2 linked regions of the Arabidopsis thaliana genome follow. The protein of the gene in region 1 purifies or fractionates together with the protein of each later gene. This does not show direct contact. Each region holds a gene or a part of one and is shown in the gene's direction. Other genes may lie near its edges.

The links. Proteins that work in one complex are often made in the same cells at the same time.
Region 2: the proteins of NRPB2 (region 1) and CPL4 purify together in Arabidopsis thaliana (affinity purification with western blotting; one study listed by BioGRID). This does not show direct contact.

Annotation. Positions count from the first base shown.
Region 1 is NC_003075.7:11,535,374-11,545,651, reverse strand, and holds NRPB2 (DNA-directed RNA polymerase family protein), read left to right. Parts: upstream 1-3,246; 5' UTR 3,247-3,451; coding exon 3,452-3,700; intron 3,701-4,476; coding exon 4,477-4,698; intron 4,699-4,800; coding exon 4,801-5,091; intron 5,092-5,201; coding exon 5,202-5,399; intron 5,400-5,490; coding exon 5,491-5,555; intron 5,556-5,658; coding exon 5,659-5,745; intron 5,746-5,822; coding exon 5,823-5,943; intron 5,944-6,038; coding exon 6,039-6,083; intron 6,084-6,175; coding exon 6,176-6,313; intron 6,314-6,446; coding exon 6,447-6,519; intron 6,520-6,684; coding exon 6,685-6,761; intron 6,762-6,839; coding exon 6,840-6,947; intron 6,948-7,033; coding exon 7,034-7,150; intron 7,151-7,242; coding exon 7,243-7,398; intron 7,399-7,479; coding exon 7,480-7,584; intron 7,585-7,667; coding exon 7,668-7,793; intron 7,794-7,886; coding exon 7,887-7,964; intron 7,965-8,057; coding exon 8,058-8,153; intron 8,154-8,242; coding exon 8,243-8,358; intron 8,359-8,433; and 13 more. Other genes in the region: AT4G21720 (defensin-like protein), read right to left, coding at 1,378-1,524, 1,622-1,660, 1,753-1,856, 2,066-2,119, 3,016-3,091. UniProt on the Arabidopsis thaliana protein: DNA-dependent RNA polymerase catalyzes the transcription of DNA into RNA using the four ribonucleoside triphosphates as substrates. Second largest component of RNA polymerase II which synthesizes mRNA precursors and many functional non-coding RNAs.
Region 2 is NC_003076.8:23,476,680-23,482,636, forward strand, and holds CPL4 (C-terminal domain phosphatase-like 4), read left to right. Parts: upstream 1-3,101; 5' UTR 3,102-3,232; intron 3,233-3,386; coding exon 3,387-3,532; intron 3,533-3,641; coding exon 3,642-3,673; exon of another isoform or gene 3,674-3,747; coding exon of another isoform or gene 3,748-3,757; coding exon 3,758-3,870; intron 3,871-3,948; coding exon 3,949-4,129; intron 4,130-4,227; coding exon 4,228-4,526; intron 4,527-4,614; coding exon 4,615-4,800; intron 4,801-4,879; coding exon 4,880-5,245; 3' UTR 5,246-5,457; downstream 5,458-5,957. Other genes in the region: AT5G58000 (Reticulon family protein), read left to right, coding at 419-1,367, 1,461-1,520, 1,620-1,722, 1,811-1,885, 1,973-2,120, 2,203-2,272, 2,359-2,424, 2,507-2,817; AT5G58005 (Cytochrome c oxidase, subunit Vib family protein), read left to right, coding at 5,555-5,638, 5,727-5,864, 5,950-5,957. UniProt on the Arabidopsis thaliana protein: Processively dephosphorylates 'Ser-2' and/or 'Ser-5' of the heptad repeats YSPTSPS in the C-terminal domain of the largest RNA polymerase II subunit (RPB1). This promotes the activity of RNA polymerase II. Required for normal plant growth.

The DNA of each region.
Region 1 (10,278 bases):
AAGTGACTTGATTTTGAAGGAGAAAACATTCCATTTTGTCAGGAACTATCCTCGATTTTTAAGTGATGTAAATACTCTCGTCTAATCAATCTAAGCAAGTTTATACAAATGTATAACACATAATAACCAACATAAAAGTTTCATATAGTTAACAAGTCAAGTGCCAATAATCAAATATCAACTTTGACATCTTCAAAGGATTTTAGTGCAATATATGAATCTTCTCCTTACTACGATGTCATTACATATGAGAGTCTAAGAATAATGAACTGAAACTTCAAATCTCTTGGGTAAATTCCTGAAGACAATCCATGAAATGAGTGATGTCGAGTTTTTCCTTCCTAATGTAAACCGGCTCTTCAGACCTGCCATCTCTTTGAGCTGCCATCTCCATAAGAAGGTATAACTGCTTAATTGGAATCTGAAAAAGATGTGATAAACCCGTGGGACAAAATGTTTAGAAACGACGATAATTAATAAAGAAAAGTGTGAATAAGATCAAAATTGTAAGTGAATAAAAAAAGGATATGAGATTGATAGAACAAAAACTTCTCCGACGTTAGCGAGGAAGAGATCGGCGGTTTCGGGAACGGCGAAACGATGGAGATCAAACGGAGAACAATAGGCGAGGTTTGTTAAAGCTAAATCTGACGCCGGTGTGGTCTTCACTGTCATCTTCATGACAAAAGAATAGGAAGAATCAGCCATGATTGTTTTTTGGTTTCCTTCGTTACAAAGATTATTGGTTTATTTGTGGAGTAAGCTAGAATTGTATATATTTATAGTAAGTCTACTACAAAATATTCCCGACAATTGAAAAAGGGAAATAAGTCATCTGACAAATAGTATAACGACACGTACACAAATGTTATGGCAAGTAAAATCGTGAAATTGAAAACTTTCTTTACTTAAATACGGTTTTCCCGGGTAATAAGTAATTTACTACTAATTAGTTACAACGGTCAAGGATGTTTGTGAAAACTTTCTCCTCATTCTCTGATTGGCTAGACTCTTTGTCACTCTTTCTTATTTGGAAATTTTGTGCCGTTCAAATATTATTGGATCTAATGAAAGGAAATTCTACATTTGTTTTTCTTTTGATAAGAATGAAAATTCTACATATTAAGAAAACAAAAAATTCAATGGAATTTAGGAACTTGAGCTTTTTGGATGCTCTAACTTTCATCACGGGACGAGTCCCACTAATATCTACTCTCCAATCTCTATTGCAAAAACTATCAAAAGAAAAAGAAAAAAAAAAGTTTATGGACCAATCCTTTGAGTTGGCTACTCTGAAAAGTAATACTCCCTCATATGTTTAGATACCAAAAAATTGAGGAGTTCCAAGTGTTAGCCTTTGATGGGGGTTGAGATACGTCAAGCGGAAGTTGCAAGAACATCCTCAGTAGGAGGCTGCATTGGTTTTTGAGAACGTGGTGGTGGTGGTGGTGGTTGTGGCTTTGGCGGTGGTGGTGGAGGTCTCTTTGGTTTCACCTTATTGACTATCTCAGCTTCAACATCAAACTGCATGATGACAAAAAAATACAGCCACACGGGTTCAGAGAAGTAGAGTGTATTTCCAAACGCATCAAATTATTGAGGTTGAAGCAAGGAAACAAACCTTGTAACCACAGCCTGCTACACATGCGTGAAAGCATTCCTGAATTTAAAAACAGAGTTACATGTACAACAATTAGATACGGTTCAGTCCATTTCTCTTTTTTGAAGAAAAAGATTCATTGTGTGAATTACCTCAGAGTATTTGGCATCTCCAGGAGAACGATCTATAACAGCAGTCCATGGTCTGTCTTTTAGCACAGGATCTTTGTAGCAAATTTCACTGCAGTCTCCTACACCTATAGAGAGTACACTACTATTACACCAATTCATTAACTTGGAAACTTAAACCTGAAAAGCAGAAGATACTCTTCATGAACATGTAATTTCGTTATGTAGGAGACAAGCTTGGTTTTTATGATGTTCCATAGTGAGGACAAATCTAACCGCTCATCATTTCATCAACAGTTTCGTTACAGATTACAAAGAATTAAAAAGAAATGCTTACAATCTTCCCATGAGTCACTATCGGCATCACATCCCTTTTTGCAGAATACTCTCCCTACACAGATTCAGGAATTACATTAGTGCTATGGAAAAAATGTCATACAACAACATGGAGGATAAACACTGATGCTAAAGCTGAAAAAAAACCCAGATTGCTATGGAAAAAATGTCATACCAAGCATAAGTTCAGCTAGCTTTTGTGCCCATGAATGAAATTCAGAGATCAGAGAATGAAAAGCTTTCATCAGAAAGACAGAAACAGCCAAACCAAGCCCTTTAACTAGCTTAAGCATACATATATGTCAATAGTTCATAGAAGCAACATGGATACAGAAGCATCTTTGATACCGTTACTTTGACTCTCTCCCTTTAAATTTCTTTCAGTTCATAAACTACAACTTATTATCTTCCACTTTCTCCTACTAATTTAACCATTTTCTTAATTACATGATAGAAAAGCTCTAAGAACTCTGCATAATCTCCCTTACTTGTAATCAATATAAATGTTGCCGATTCTTCAATCTACATTATTCAATTACGAGTCAAGATGGATGTTCTTAAATACTTGCAACTACAACTATAAGTTGTCTCTGGACCAATCTAACCAAAGAAGCGATTCTTGACCAAAATGTTTAGTATAATCGTAATGAAGTAGAGTGCACCAACAAATAATTAGGGTTTATGAATCAAGAAATCAATCAACAATCCAATTTACAGATCCCAATTTCAATTCCAAACAACAACAAAAAGAAGAAACACTCGGAAGACTAAATTGACTTTTGAATCAAGAAATCAATCACCAATCCAAATCAGAACCCAATCTATCAGCTCCAACAACAGATTCTTATCATCATCATCGAAAACTAAACCATCAAAAAACAACGGACCACGAACATCAAAACTCAAAAACGAATCCGATTCACACAAATTAAGAGTCCAGATATTACATACATGGAAGCTGCGTAAATGCTGAGTACTTATTCGTGCATTTGCTCCCACACGGCGGCGTCCATTGCTGCGGTATCATCTCTCTCTCCCTTCCTCCGCCTTCACTCTCCGTCTCTCTCTCTCTTCTTCCGAAAATATCGCTGACGCCACAAAAATGTAGCCGGAGACTTTTCTTTATATAGTAAGGGTGTTTCCGTCATTTAACAATCCAAGCTCTCTAACAACCAAACCGATCCTTTTTATAATCCCATTTAATCAAACCGGTTATTGATACAAACCGGTTATTTCCATAAACTTAAGCCGACTTCTCTCTCTCGAGCCTTTATAAACTCACAATCTCACAAAGCCGTCTCATTCTCTGCGTCCTGTCTCTCTCTTTGTCTCCGAGAGCTCGAGTAGTGAAGTTTGCTGTGCTCTAATCTTCAGAGAGTGAGAATAAATGGAGTACAACGAATACGAACCTGAACCTCAATATGTAGAAGACGATGACGATGAGGAGATTACCCAGGAGGACGCGTGGGCTGTTATATCTGCTTATTTCGAAGAGAAAGGTCTCGTTCGTCAACAGCTGGATTCGTTTGATGAGTTTATTCAAAATACTATGCAAGAAATCGTTGATGAGTCTGCTGATATCGAGATCCGACCTGAATCTCAGCATAATCCTGGCCATCAGTCCGATTTTGCGGAGGTTGTTTCCTCGTTTTTGTTTTTTTCTAGGGTTTCTATGGGAATTCGAAATTATGTGCGGGTTTATCGTGTTTGTGGCGGTTTTAAAGTGTTTCGATTTGAGCTTCTACCGTTTGGGTGCGATTAGGGTTTACCTGAATCTTATTGATGTCCCGAGATTGTCTTGTTATTCAATGCTTGAGCTATATGCTGTTCAAGAGTCAAAAAATGATTTTGACTATTGATGTCCGGATATTGACTTTGAGCTGGTAATCTTATTAATGTCCCGAGATTATCTTTGAGTTAATGCTTGAGCTCATCTCTTTCGAGGAGGATTTATAGTATTGGTTGAAACTCAAATCAGTTTTGGCACTATAAAAATGAGTTTGGTATCTTTTTTTGCTGTCCCTTTGGTCTGTTTTCCTGCAGACAGTCTATTGTTAGCCCTTATCTGAGAAGCTTATCTCAATGATTTCCCATGATTATCTTTGTATTCGATGCTTGAGCTCTTCGCTTTTTTGAGGTGTATTTTCAGTGGTTTTGAATATTGGTTAAAGCTTAAATCAGTTTTTAAGTTTTGTTGCAATTAGGGTCTGCCTTTGTCGAGTAGCTAAGCTCATTGATTTTCCGAGATTATCTTTCCATTTAATGCTTGAGCTCTTCGCTTTTTTCAAAGTGTCCTTTCAGTGGTCTTTATTATCGGTTGAAGCTCAAATCATTTTTGACTTTGTGTGAGCTGAGATATAGCTGTTTTGCTATCTGTTTTTCTGTATGTCTGATATAGCTGTTTTCCTGCAGACAATCTACAAGATTAGCTTTGGACAGATTTATCTGAGTAAACCTATGATGACAGAGTCTGATGGAGAGACTGCCACCCTGTTCCCTAAGGCTGCAAGGTTGAGAAATCTCACATACTCTGCGCCTTTGTATGTCGATGTTACTAAGAGAGTTATTAAGAAAGGGCATGATGGTGAAGAAGTTACGGAGACACAGGATTTTACTAAAGTTTTCATTGGAAAGGTGTCCGAACTCAGTTCATTGTGTCACATTTATTTAGGTGTTTCCATGTACTCTACTGTTCTGATAGTAGAAATGTTTTCTTCTTGTTTGATTATTTGCTAGGTTCCCATCATGCTCCGGTCTAGTTACTGTACCTTGTTTCAGAACTCGGAGAAAGACCTGACAGAGCTTGGAGAATGTCCTTATGATCAGGGTGGATACTTCATTATTAATGGCAGTGAAAAGGTTCTGATTGCTCAGGAGAAGATGAGTACGAATCATGTTTATGTGTTCAAGAAAAGGCAGCCAAATAAGTATGCTTATGTTGGTGAAGTCCGTTCTATGGCTGAAAACCAAAATAGGCCTCCAAGCACAATGTTTGTGCGTATGCTTGCTCGTGCTAGTGCAAAAGGGGTAAGAGAAAGCTAATTAGTCTTAACTCTACTATATCCTTCCTCGAAATTTATTCTTTAAATTCTAGATAATGGTAAATAAATTACATTCTATGTTGCAAATGGATGCAGGGTTCATCTGGACAGTATATTCGATGTACTCTTCCATACATCAGAACAGAAATTCCTATTATCATAGTATTTCGTGCACTGGGATTTGTTGCCGATAAGGACATATTGGAACACATCTGCTATGATTTTGCCGATACCCAGATGATGGAGTTGCTCAGGCCTTCCTTGGAAGAAGCTTTCGTTATTCAAAATCAGCTGGTATCCACTTTTTTTTCACTTGGTTAATGACATTTTATTATGCTTGAGGAATTGATCTTGCAATCACTTGATAACTTTCATATTACTTCAGGTTGCACTTGACTATATTGGAAAACGTGGTGCAACTGTTGGTGTAACCAAGGAAAAAAGGATAAAGTATGTGATAATCTAAACCAATTAAGTTGGACATTATGATCTAAGATGTCAACTATTGAGATGTTCACACTGGAGGTTTGCGATTGCAATATTATCATTGCAGGTATGCTAGAGATATCCTTCAGAAAGAAATGCTTCCTCATGTAGGAATTGGGGAGCATTGCGAGACAAAGAAAGCTTACTATTTTGGGTAGGTATTTAACTCACTTGTAATGTTTATAGACTTAACATGTTTCTGTGTTGCTCATATTATGCTATGATCCGTAGGTATATCATACACCGGCTGCTGCTTTGTGCACTTGGCCGAAGGCCAGAAGATGATAGGGATCATTATGGTAACAAAAGGCTGGATCTTGCTGGTCCTTTACTTGGAGGGCTATTTAGAATGGTTTGTTCCCGGCACACAATTATACACTCTTGGGGATTGTTGAGTATCAGTGTTTTTTTTATCTCTTACTGACCTAACATCTTCTCTACATGCAGCTTTTCCGAAAGTTAACAAGGGATGTGAGATCTTATGTTCAAAAGGTATCTTACATAGTTACTCTTTCTCGAGCCAAAGACTTTAGTATTAAGTTGTTATTCTGTGTTTGGAAGTCTGATTCATGTTTCTTTGACAGTGCGTTGACAATGGCAAAGAAGTCAATCTTCAATTTGCCATTAAGGCTAAAACAATTACCTCTGGCCTGAAATATTCTCTTGCTACTGGGAACTGGGGCCAGGCAAACGCTGCTGGCACAAGAGCTGGAGTCTCTCAGGTTAGGATAATTCTATGTTAATTATGTTTTTGAGTTCCAATAATTTCTTGATGTATGTTATCGGGTTTACTGTTTTGGCCTATTATAATTCATTGCATGATTTATATGGCTCTAAAGACTTAACTAACAACAGGTTCTTAACCGGTTGACATATGCTTCGACTTTGTCACATCTGAGGCGTCTCAATTCTCCAATAGGACGTGAAGGTAAAGCCTCGTTCTTTTCCTGCACTTCTATTTTGTCTCTGTGTAACTGTTCGTACAGTTGGTGTATTTTAGTCATGGTTCTCTTTATTATCCACATCCTTGCAATTTAGATTGGCTTGTACTTTTGTTTATCCCACTTGAATCTAATCAAGTCTGATATGCCAGGAAAATTGGCAAAACCAAGACAACTGCACAACTCACAGTGGGGAATGATGTGCCCTGCTGAAACACCTGAAGGACAGGTAAAATTGTTATATTTATAAAATAAGGGTGTTTCGGATTTTATAGTTCCATTGCTCATTGTGGCTTTGCTGTACCAGGCTTGTGGTCTAGTGAAAAACTTGGCTCTCATGGTCTACATAACAGTTGGGTCAGCTGCTTATCCTATATTGGAATTTTTGGAAGAATGGGGTACTGAGAATTTTGAGGTCTGTAGCATTTCACATTCAATTTCTTACCCAACATCTGCCTCCTTGGTTCTTGTGGTTTCCTGAAGGTCTTAACTTGAATATAGGAAATATCTCCATCTGTTATACCCCAAGCCACAAAAATCTTTGTCAATGGAATGTGGGTTGGAGTTCATAGAGATCCTGACATGTTGGTGAAAACGTTGAGACGTTTGAGACGAAGGGTAAGCATGCAGTTTCTTTCACGTTTCCATATATGCTAGTGAAAATATTGCAACTTTATGCAGAAGTGACATATTACTTTTTCCTCTTGCAGGTTGATGTCAACACTGAAGTTGGTGTAGTTAGAGATATCCGTCTTAAAGAGCTCCGGATATACACTGATTATGGACGTTGTAGCCGTCCGTTGTTTATTGTAGATAATCAGAAGCTCTTAATAAAGAAGAGAGATATCTATGCTCTGCAACAAAGGGTAAAATTCTAATTTTTACCTGTTATCAAAGTATCTTTTGTTATAAATTCCATTGTACCAATATTTGTTTTCATAACCCAGGAAAGTGCAGAAGAAGATGGTTGGCATCATCTGGTTGCTAAGGGCTTTATAGAATACATAGACACAGAAGAAGAGGAAACGACCATGATTTCCATGACTATCAGTGTGAGTAATGAAATGAAGATGTGATTAAATGAGTTTGTGGTGCACTAATTTCTGCAGAAATCTTACTCTTATGTTTGTTGTAGGATCTGGTTCAAGCTAGACTCCGCCCAGAAGAGGCTTATACTGAAAACTACACACATTGTGAGATTCACCCATCTCTGATATTGGGGGTCTGTGCTTCAATCATACCATTTCCTGACCATAATCAGGTACCTCTGTCTAAATGACTTTTCTATCAGAAGCGATTTCATTATGTAAATTCAGTTTCATGCTAACTAACCCTTTACTTTTTGATGTATTAGTCACCTCGTAATACATATCAATCTGCCATGGGGAAGCAAGCAATGGGAATTTATGTCACCAACTACCAATTTCGCATGGTATGTTCTAGGCTCTTAATTTGTGGTCTTTCTTGTCAGCTCTTGTTACATCACTCAATATTTTAAAGAAATTATTATTGTTCTGTCAACCAGGATACGTTAGCTTATGTTCTCTATTATCCACAAAAGCCTTTGGTTACTACAAGAGCTATGGAGCATCTTCACTTTAGACAACTTCCAGCAGGAATTGTAAGTTATTTTTGCTAGAAGTTTTTCAGAATTCAGCATTGCTCGTGTATCAAATCTCTCAAATGTTTTTTTTTCTTCTTCTTGTGCAGAATGCTATTGTTGCCATTTCTTGCTATTCTGGATATAATCAAGAAGATTCTGTCATCATGAATCAGTCTTCAATAGATCGTGGTTTCTTTCGATCCTTGTTCTTTCGGTCTTACAGGTGAGTATGCTATACTTTTGGACGTTTGCCTTCGGTCTTTCCATTTATTTATACTGCAATCACGTTTGCTGACAGAGATGAGGAGAAAAAAATGGGGACGCTTGTCAAAGAAGACTTTGGGCGCCCAGACAGAGGAAGTACAATGGTAAGAAAGTAATTGACACATGGTTCATACTTCAGTGGTGCTTTTTGTAAGTGAAGTTTAACACTTGGGTTTCTGCTGCAGGGTATGCGACATGGTTCTTATGATAAACTGGATGATGATGGTCTTGCGCCTCCTGTAAGTTTATAATTTATTGTTCCTTAATTATTTATTATCTGATATGATTAGGTGACTAATGTTAGAAAGCATATCATACAATCTTTTATTTTTGGTATAGGGTACTAGAGTTTCAGGTGAAGATGTTATCATTGGGAAAACCACTCCAATATCTCAAGATGAGGCTCAAGGACAATCATCCCGATACACTAGACGTGATCATAGTATAAGCTTGCGACATAGTGAAACTGGAATGGTGGATCAGGTAACTTTGGCTTTTCCTTGCAGTTAAGGGTTTAGAAAGTTTCAGGATTGAAATATGAAACTGATCAATTCTTGTAACTTCGTGTAGGTGTTATTGACTACAAATGCAGATGGTTTGAGGTTTGTGAAAGTGAGGGTCAGATCCGTGCGGATTCCTCAAATTGGAGACAAATTTAGTAGTAGACACGGTCAGAAGGGAACTGTTGGCATGACCTACACGCAGGAGGATATGCCATGGACGATTGAAGGGGTCACTCCGGACATTATTGTGAATCCACATGCTATTCCGTCTCGAATGACAATTGGACAGCTAATTGAGTGCATCATGGGAAAAGTGGCAGCTCACATGGGAAAAGAAGGAGATGCTACTCCCTTTACAGATGTCACGGTAACTTGCATTTTCCTTAGCTGCTTAGTTAGCATTGGGCTTGGTATTATTAGTTTTGACCAATGTTGTGTCGTTAGGTGGATAATATAAGCAAAGCCCTTCATAAGTGTGGGTACCAAATGCGTGGATTTGAGAGAATGTACAATGGTCACACGGGCAGACCACTCACAGCTATGATATTCCTTGGACCAACATATTACCAAAGATTGAAGCATATGGTTGATGACAAGATTCACTCGCGTGGACGAGGTCCGGTGCAAATCTTAACAAGACAACCAGCTGAAGGGCGATCACGTGATGGTGGTCTCCGTTTTGGAGAAATGGAGCGCGATTGCATGATTGCACATGGTGCTGCTCACTTTTTGAAAGAGAGGCTGTTTGATCAGAGTGATGCGTATAGGGTACATGTGTGTGAAGTCTGCGGGCTCATTGCCATTGCAAATCTGAAGAAGAATTCTTTTGAATGCAGAGGTTGCAAGAACAAAACAGATATTGTTCAGGTAAACATAAACTGTTGTGCAAGTGGTTCATATTCATCTTTATCTCTTTCATGCTCATTTGTCTGATGTCATTTCATCTAAATATTCTCAGGTATACATTCCATATGCTTGCAAATTACTCTTTCAAGAGCTTATGTCAATGGCTATTGCACCAAGGATGCTCACTAAACACCTGAAATCGGCTAAAGGCAGACAGTGAGGAGCTTGCAATCTGATTTTGTAGAAACTTGAACTTTCCTTCTCTCTTGGTCATAGCTTTGTAACAATACTAAATTTACAAATTTGTGTAATATTTCTGTACTAATTCTTAAAGCTAGAAAGGTACCTTATAAGATATATTTATGGATTCTTTAGTAAATTTGCTGCTCCTAATTATTCTCATGGGGCATCCGTATGGGGATTCACTTTGTTTCCTTCTGCTTTCATCATCATTGTGCCTTATCGATGAGCTCAACATTGCGAAATCCATTCAATAGCTGTTTCAAACATTAATGATATCTTTTCTATGG
Region 2 (5,957 bases), on another chromosome or scaffold:
ATTTCATAAAGTAAAAAACAAGAAGTAATCAAAATTAATTAACTTCAAATAAAAAAAGAAAAGTAAAAAAGTAGAGAGATTGTGATCATAAACCTTGATGATTATGTTTAAGTAAGCATCTTTGCAGTGCAACCACATGCAAAGGCTTTAGGTTAATTTTAAAAGCAGTAGCCAATTATCCAATTTGGTGATCTATAGCTAGTCTCAATCTTCATGAGACAAACATAGGTCCCCCTCCTCTGTCTGATCTAACAACCCAACTCCAAATTCTGCTTTATCAGAAATTATATGAAATCAATTACCTTTTGGTGCCCAACAACCTCCATTTTCCTTCAGCTTCAAGGCTCATCATCATTACTACTTTCAAATTCACAGCTCGATTACTAGTACGACATAGACATAGACATAAAGACAGAGAATGGACCCAAGTAGTATCAACAGCAGCAGAAGAAAGAGAATTGGAGGAGCCGTTGTTGCTGCAGGTTCTGTTTGGGAAACGAGAATGCAGAGCGATGATGAAGTTTGTAATAACGCCATTGTTCTTCATGTTACAAACGAAGACAAGACTTCTTCTACTAAGCAAATGACTTTAAAGGATGAAACTTTATTAGGTGTTAATGGAAAGAGACGGACTTGGAAGTCTAGAGCGTCCGATGTGAAGAACCCATCAACGCTTGAGATTGTTCGAGCCAATTCTCTGAAGGTGACGAAGCCGAGATCAATTGGTACTCCTCCGATGACGCCGAGGAGATCGTTGTCTAGTAGTGATTCTAATGATAAGAGTCCGAGTGTGTCGGTGGTGGCGAAGAAGGCAAGATCTGAATCTGTAGAGGGGATTGAGAAGAAGACTACTCCGGGTCGAGTTAAGAAGATCCGATCGGAGGTCTGCACGACGATCGTTAAAGCCGGTGAATTTGATTCAGTTGCGTTGAGGAAAGTGAATTCGTTGCCATCTCCAAATTCTGAGAAATCTGATACGAAAACAGAGCAAGAAGTGACTATCATTGAGAATTCGAAGATCCCAGAAGAAGTCAAGGAGTTTGGTGTTTGTCAGGAGATGATCGTATCTGCTAAATCAAACGAAAATGAGCAGATTGACAATGGCGACCAGGAGATTGGTGATCAAGATGATTATGAAGAAGATGGAGATGAGGAGGAGGAAAGAGAAGTGGAGAAGAAGAGTGTTGATGTGAAGGAGATAAATGTAGCCAAGGAAAACAGAGTTGGTGGTGTTGAGATTAAAAAGTTTAGTCAATTTCAAAACAGAACATCTCCATCTCCGTCGTCCGTTCGTAAAATTTCGCCTCCGGTGATCAAAAGGGCAACTTCTGTTTACTCGGCCCCACCAAATTCTACTTCAAGCACAGGTTGTTTAATCCGAATTTCAGTGCTTTGTTTCATCGACCGCTATTTGCTTACTGAATTCTGATGAATCCTCTGTTTTTCACGACTGTTTCCAGATAGATTTGCAGAGCAAGAAGACAACTTTACTCATTCACAGAGTAAATTGCAGAGTCTGGGTGAGTTTCTTAACAGTTTACTGTGCATAATTCCATCTACAAATTTTTTTACTATGAAAAGTCTAAAGTATGTTAAATAATGAAATGAAATCTGGACAGTGGATCTGGTGATGTGGAGGGATGTATCAAGGTCGACGCTTGTGTTTGGCTTCGGAACATTCCTCATCATCTCTTCTTCCTACGCCAATGATCTCAATTTCAGGTTCTTTAGTTCTTTTCAATTGATCAAGGAGAATCTACACACAAGTTAGTTAAGTAGTATGGAACTAAAATGTGATGAAAATGTACAGCTTCATATCGGTGGTAGCGTACATGGGACTCATCTATCTCGGTCTCATGTTCGTATTAAAATCACTGATCCACAGGTTTGATACATAGACCTATTTCTCTCTCTCTATCTTTGCATGTTGTTTTTGTGATTGGGTTTAATAGGCATGTAATAATGGACGCAGGGGAATGGTGGAGGAGGAGAGACATAAAGTGGTTGGAGTTAGAGAGGAAGATGTCAAGAGGATGCTCAGACTCATAATGCCTTATCTCAACGAGTCTCTGCATCAACTCAGAGCTCTCTTCTCCGGTGATCCATCAACCACTCTCAAGGTAAGTCTTTTTCTTCTCACTTTCTCTCCTTCGTTTCCTCTTTCTCCCTTGACCTTAATAAAGAAGAGATGATGTTTTGCAGATGGGAGTAGTGTTGTTTGTCTTGGCCAGGTGTGGCTCTTCTATCACTCTTTGGAACCTCGCCAAATTTGGTACCTCTAGACTTCAAGATTTCTTGTTTTAAGAAGTGGTGTATGTAGATTTCTGACTTGCGAGTGTTTTGTCCTCGTGAGAACAGGCTTTTTGGGAGCATTTACAATACCTAAAATCTTCATATCATACTCAACACACTTCTCTGCATACGGTAACTAAAAACTCCTTCAATATCTTTCAGTTACATCTTCTATGAAACAGTTTTTAATCAAACAAAGTTGTGTACAATTCAGGAAATTTCTGGATGAGGAGATTCAGGGACGCATGGGAATCTTGCAATCACAAAAAGGCAGTGGCTTTGGCACTTTTCACCTTAGTTTGGAACCTCTCCTCAGTCACTGCCCGTGTTTGGGCAGCATTCATGTTACTCGTCGCCTTCAGATATTATCAACATAAGATGATTTGGACAACTGATCAAGCTGATGATGATGAGGATGACAATGAAGAAGAAGAAGCAGAAGAAGAAAAAGAACAAGTCCCTCCTAAACACAAAAGGGCTCCTCCTCATATGATGATGCCTAATAAACTCAAGAAAATTTCTTAAATATACTAATTGTTTTTCCTCCATATATAAACAACATTTACTATGTAATCTCTTTAGTTTTTAGTTACTTCTCTATACAAAGCTTACAGTTTATAATGTGAATCTGATCTTCTAAGTTCAATTAACTTATGCCAACAATCTAAAACTCACACACTTGAAATATTTATCCATTCTTCTTAAACTTAGTTAGACTTGAACCCAAAAACAAACAATCTTAATTAGGCTTCTAACGGGCTTTAAGCGGGCCTTATTACATAAACTATTCAGCTTTCGTGAAATAACAAATCGGACAGAAGTTGAAAGCTTTACTTCTTCACTTTTACGGTTGCTCACCGTCGTGACATCTCCACTCTTTTCCTTTCAAAATCCAAAATCACGATTTGATTTTCTCTCGCCTCCGACGAACAAGTTTAAGGTACCACTCCATGTTTCTCTGCGATTTCAATTCGAACTCCATGTGACCTTTTCTCTGTCTGTGTTTAATTTAGGGTTTACTCAATTCGTGACTTTCATTTGCGTTGAAAAATTTATCTGATTTTGCTTTGTTGTGACTTGTGAGTGGTTTTCAGATGAGCGTAGCAAGTGATTCTCCAGTTCATTCATCAAGTAGTAGTGACGATCTTGCTGCATTCCTTGATGCTGAATTAGACTCTGCATCAGATGCTTCGTCTGGACCCAGCGAAGAAGAAGAAGCTGAGGATGATGTAGAATCTGGGTAAACTCAACTCTCATATGTCATGCATTCTCTCTAATTGAATCTTCGAACTCTCTACTGGTATTTACAGTGTGTATATTTTCTCAAACCATGTTTCTCAATCTTTTAGGTTAAAGAGACAAAAGTTGGAGCATTTAGAGGGTGAAGCTCTCTTTATTGATTCAGTCTTATTTTTCTGTCTTTCGTTTGTTCGATTGTATTGAATTTTGAACCTTATGCTTGCAGAAGCATCCTCAAGCAAAGGCGAATGCGAGCATCCAGGATCATTTGGGAATATGTGCTTTGTATGTGGACAAAAACTGGAAGAAACTGGTGTTTCATTTAGATACATACACAAGGTATCGATTTCAGAATAGCTTCTCTTAAATCAAATCTTAGTTTTTATTTAATGAGCTTTGGGAAATCTGTTTTCTTAGGAAATGAGGCTCAATGAAGATGAAATCTCCCGGTTGCGTGATTCAGATTCGAGATTCTTGCAACGCCAGCGGAAGTTGTATTTAGTTCTCGATCTAGACCACACACTGCTAAATACAACCATACTGAGGGACCTAAAACCAGAGGAGGAATACTTGAAAAGTCATACTCATTCTCTTCAAGGTGATACATTCAGCTACATTGTTTTGCTTCTTTTTCAAATGTGATCTTTGTGCATGGAACTTCAGTCTAGTATTTGTCTTTTTTTTTGTTCCATCTAGATGGTTGCAATGTTTCCGGAGGCAGTCTTTTCCTACTGGAATTTATGCAAATGATGACCAAACTGAGGCCGTTTGTTCACTCATTTCTAAAAGAAGCTAGTGAGATGTTTGTGATGTACATATACACAATGGGAGATAGGAATTATGCACGACAGATGGCCAAGCTGCTGGACCCCAAAGGAGAGTACTTTGGTGATCGGGTCATTTCTCGGGATGACGGCACAGTGAGACATGAAAAGAGTCTAGATGTGGTGCTTGGACAAGAAAGTGCTGTTCTGATTCTTGACGATACAGAGAATGTAAGTATGATTTGTAATTTGTCAATGTTTCATGTAACTTTTAATCATGATATTGAGTTGTGCTGATGATACTTGGTTTGATGCTCAGGCGTGGCCAAAGCACAAGGACAATTTGATTGTGATAGAGAGATATCACTTTTTTTCTTCGAGCTGCAGGCAGTTTGATCACAGATACAAGTCTCTATCGGAGTTGAAGAGTGATGAGAGTGAACCAGATGGGGCACTTGCAACTGTCCTGAAAGTCCTAAAACAAGCGCATGCTCTATTCTTTGAGGTATGCACTCACTGGATCTAAATAAAACTTATCTCTTGTCTTGTTGGAGTTTGTTGATTATATTATTCGTTTGTTTCAGAATGTGGATGAAGGCATATCAAACAGAGATGTTAGGTTAATGCTGAAACAAGTGCGTAAAGAGATACTTAAAGGATGTAAAATAGTGTTCAGTCGGGTGTTCCCAACCAAGGCAAAGCCAGAAGATCACCCCCTGTGGAAAATGGCTGAGGAACTGGGAGCCACCTGCGCAACGGAAGTGGATGCATCAGTGACACACGTTGTGGCAATGGATGTGGGAACAGAGAAGGCTCGTTGGGCCGTTAGAGAGAAGAAGTATGTGGTTCATAGAGGATGGATAGATGCAGCTAATTACCTTTGGATGAAACAGCCAGAAGAGAACTTCGGTTTAGAGCAGCTCAAGAAGCAATTGACCGAAGAAGAGTGATTTATGTAACAACAATGAGAAAGAAGAGATAGCTTTTTTTTGTTGGATATTAATTATGAATCTATGTCTAAAGTAAAGTTTTGTAATGTACATTACATTGTATCTCTGATATTTAAACAAGGTACTAATTTTTGGTTGATCTCCTTAATTATTTTGTTTCGTCTATGCTTATTTGCGAAGGTCTGTAATCTACCGACAACTTTTTTGGGCCGGGCCTAAATGGGCCGTATATTTATGTCCCTCATCTACTTTCATTTGTTTTGTTTGGTGTTTGTTTCTGGTTTCTGATTCCGTCTTCTTCGCTTAGACATGGCTCTCGATACTTATGCGTCGTCGAACCCTAATGATGTTCATGAGGATGTTCTTCTTAAAGCTAGAGATGCTTGTTACAAGGTCCGTCTTTCTCTCTTCTCATTTTCGTTGTTGTGATACTGATTTGTGTGATTTAGGTTAAATTGTAAGTGATCATTAATTGGTGCAGGCCAGAGATGCTTTTTACGCTTGTCTAGAAAAGGAATCTGGTAAAAAACCAACTGAAATCGCCACCGTGGGTCTTCTCTATCCTAAGGAGTGTAGCAATTCTAGAACCCAATTCGTCAACAACTGTCGGTCCTCTTGGGTACTCTCTTCTTTCAATTAGTTTTGCAAATTGCAATCTTTATATGATTTGTTTGGGAATTAATGGAAGAAATGAAAAATTGTAGGTGAAACA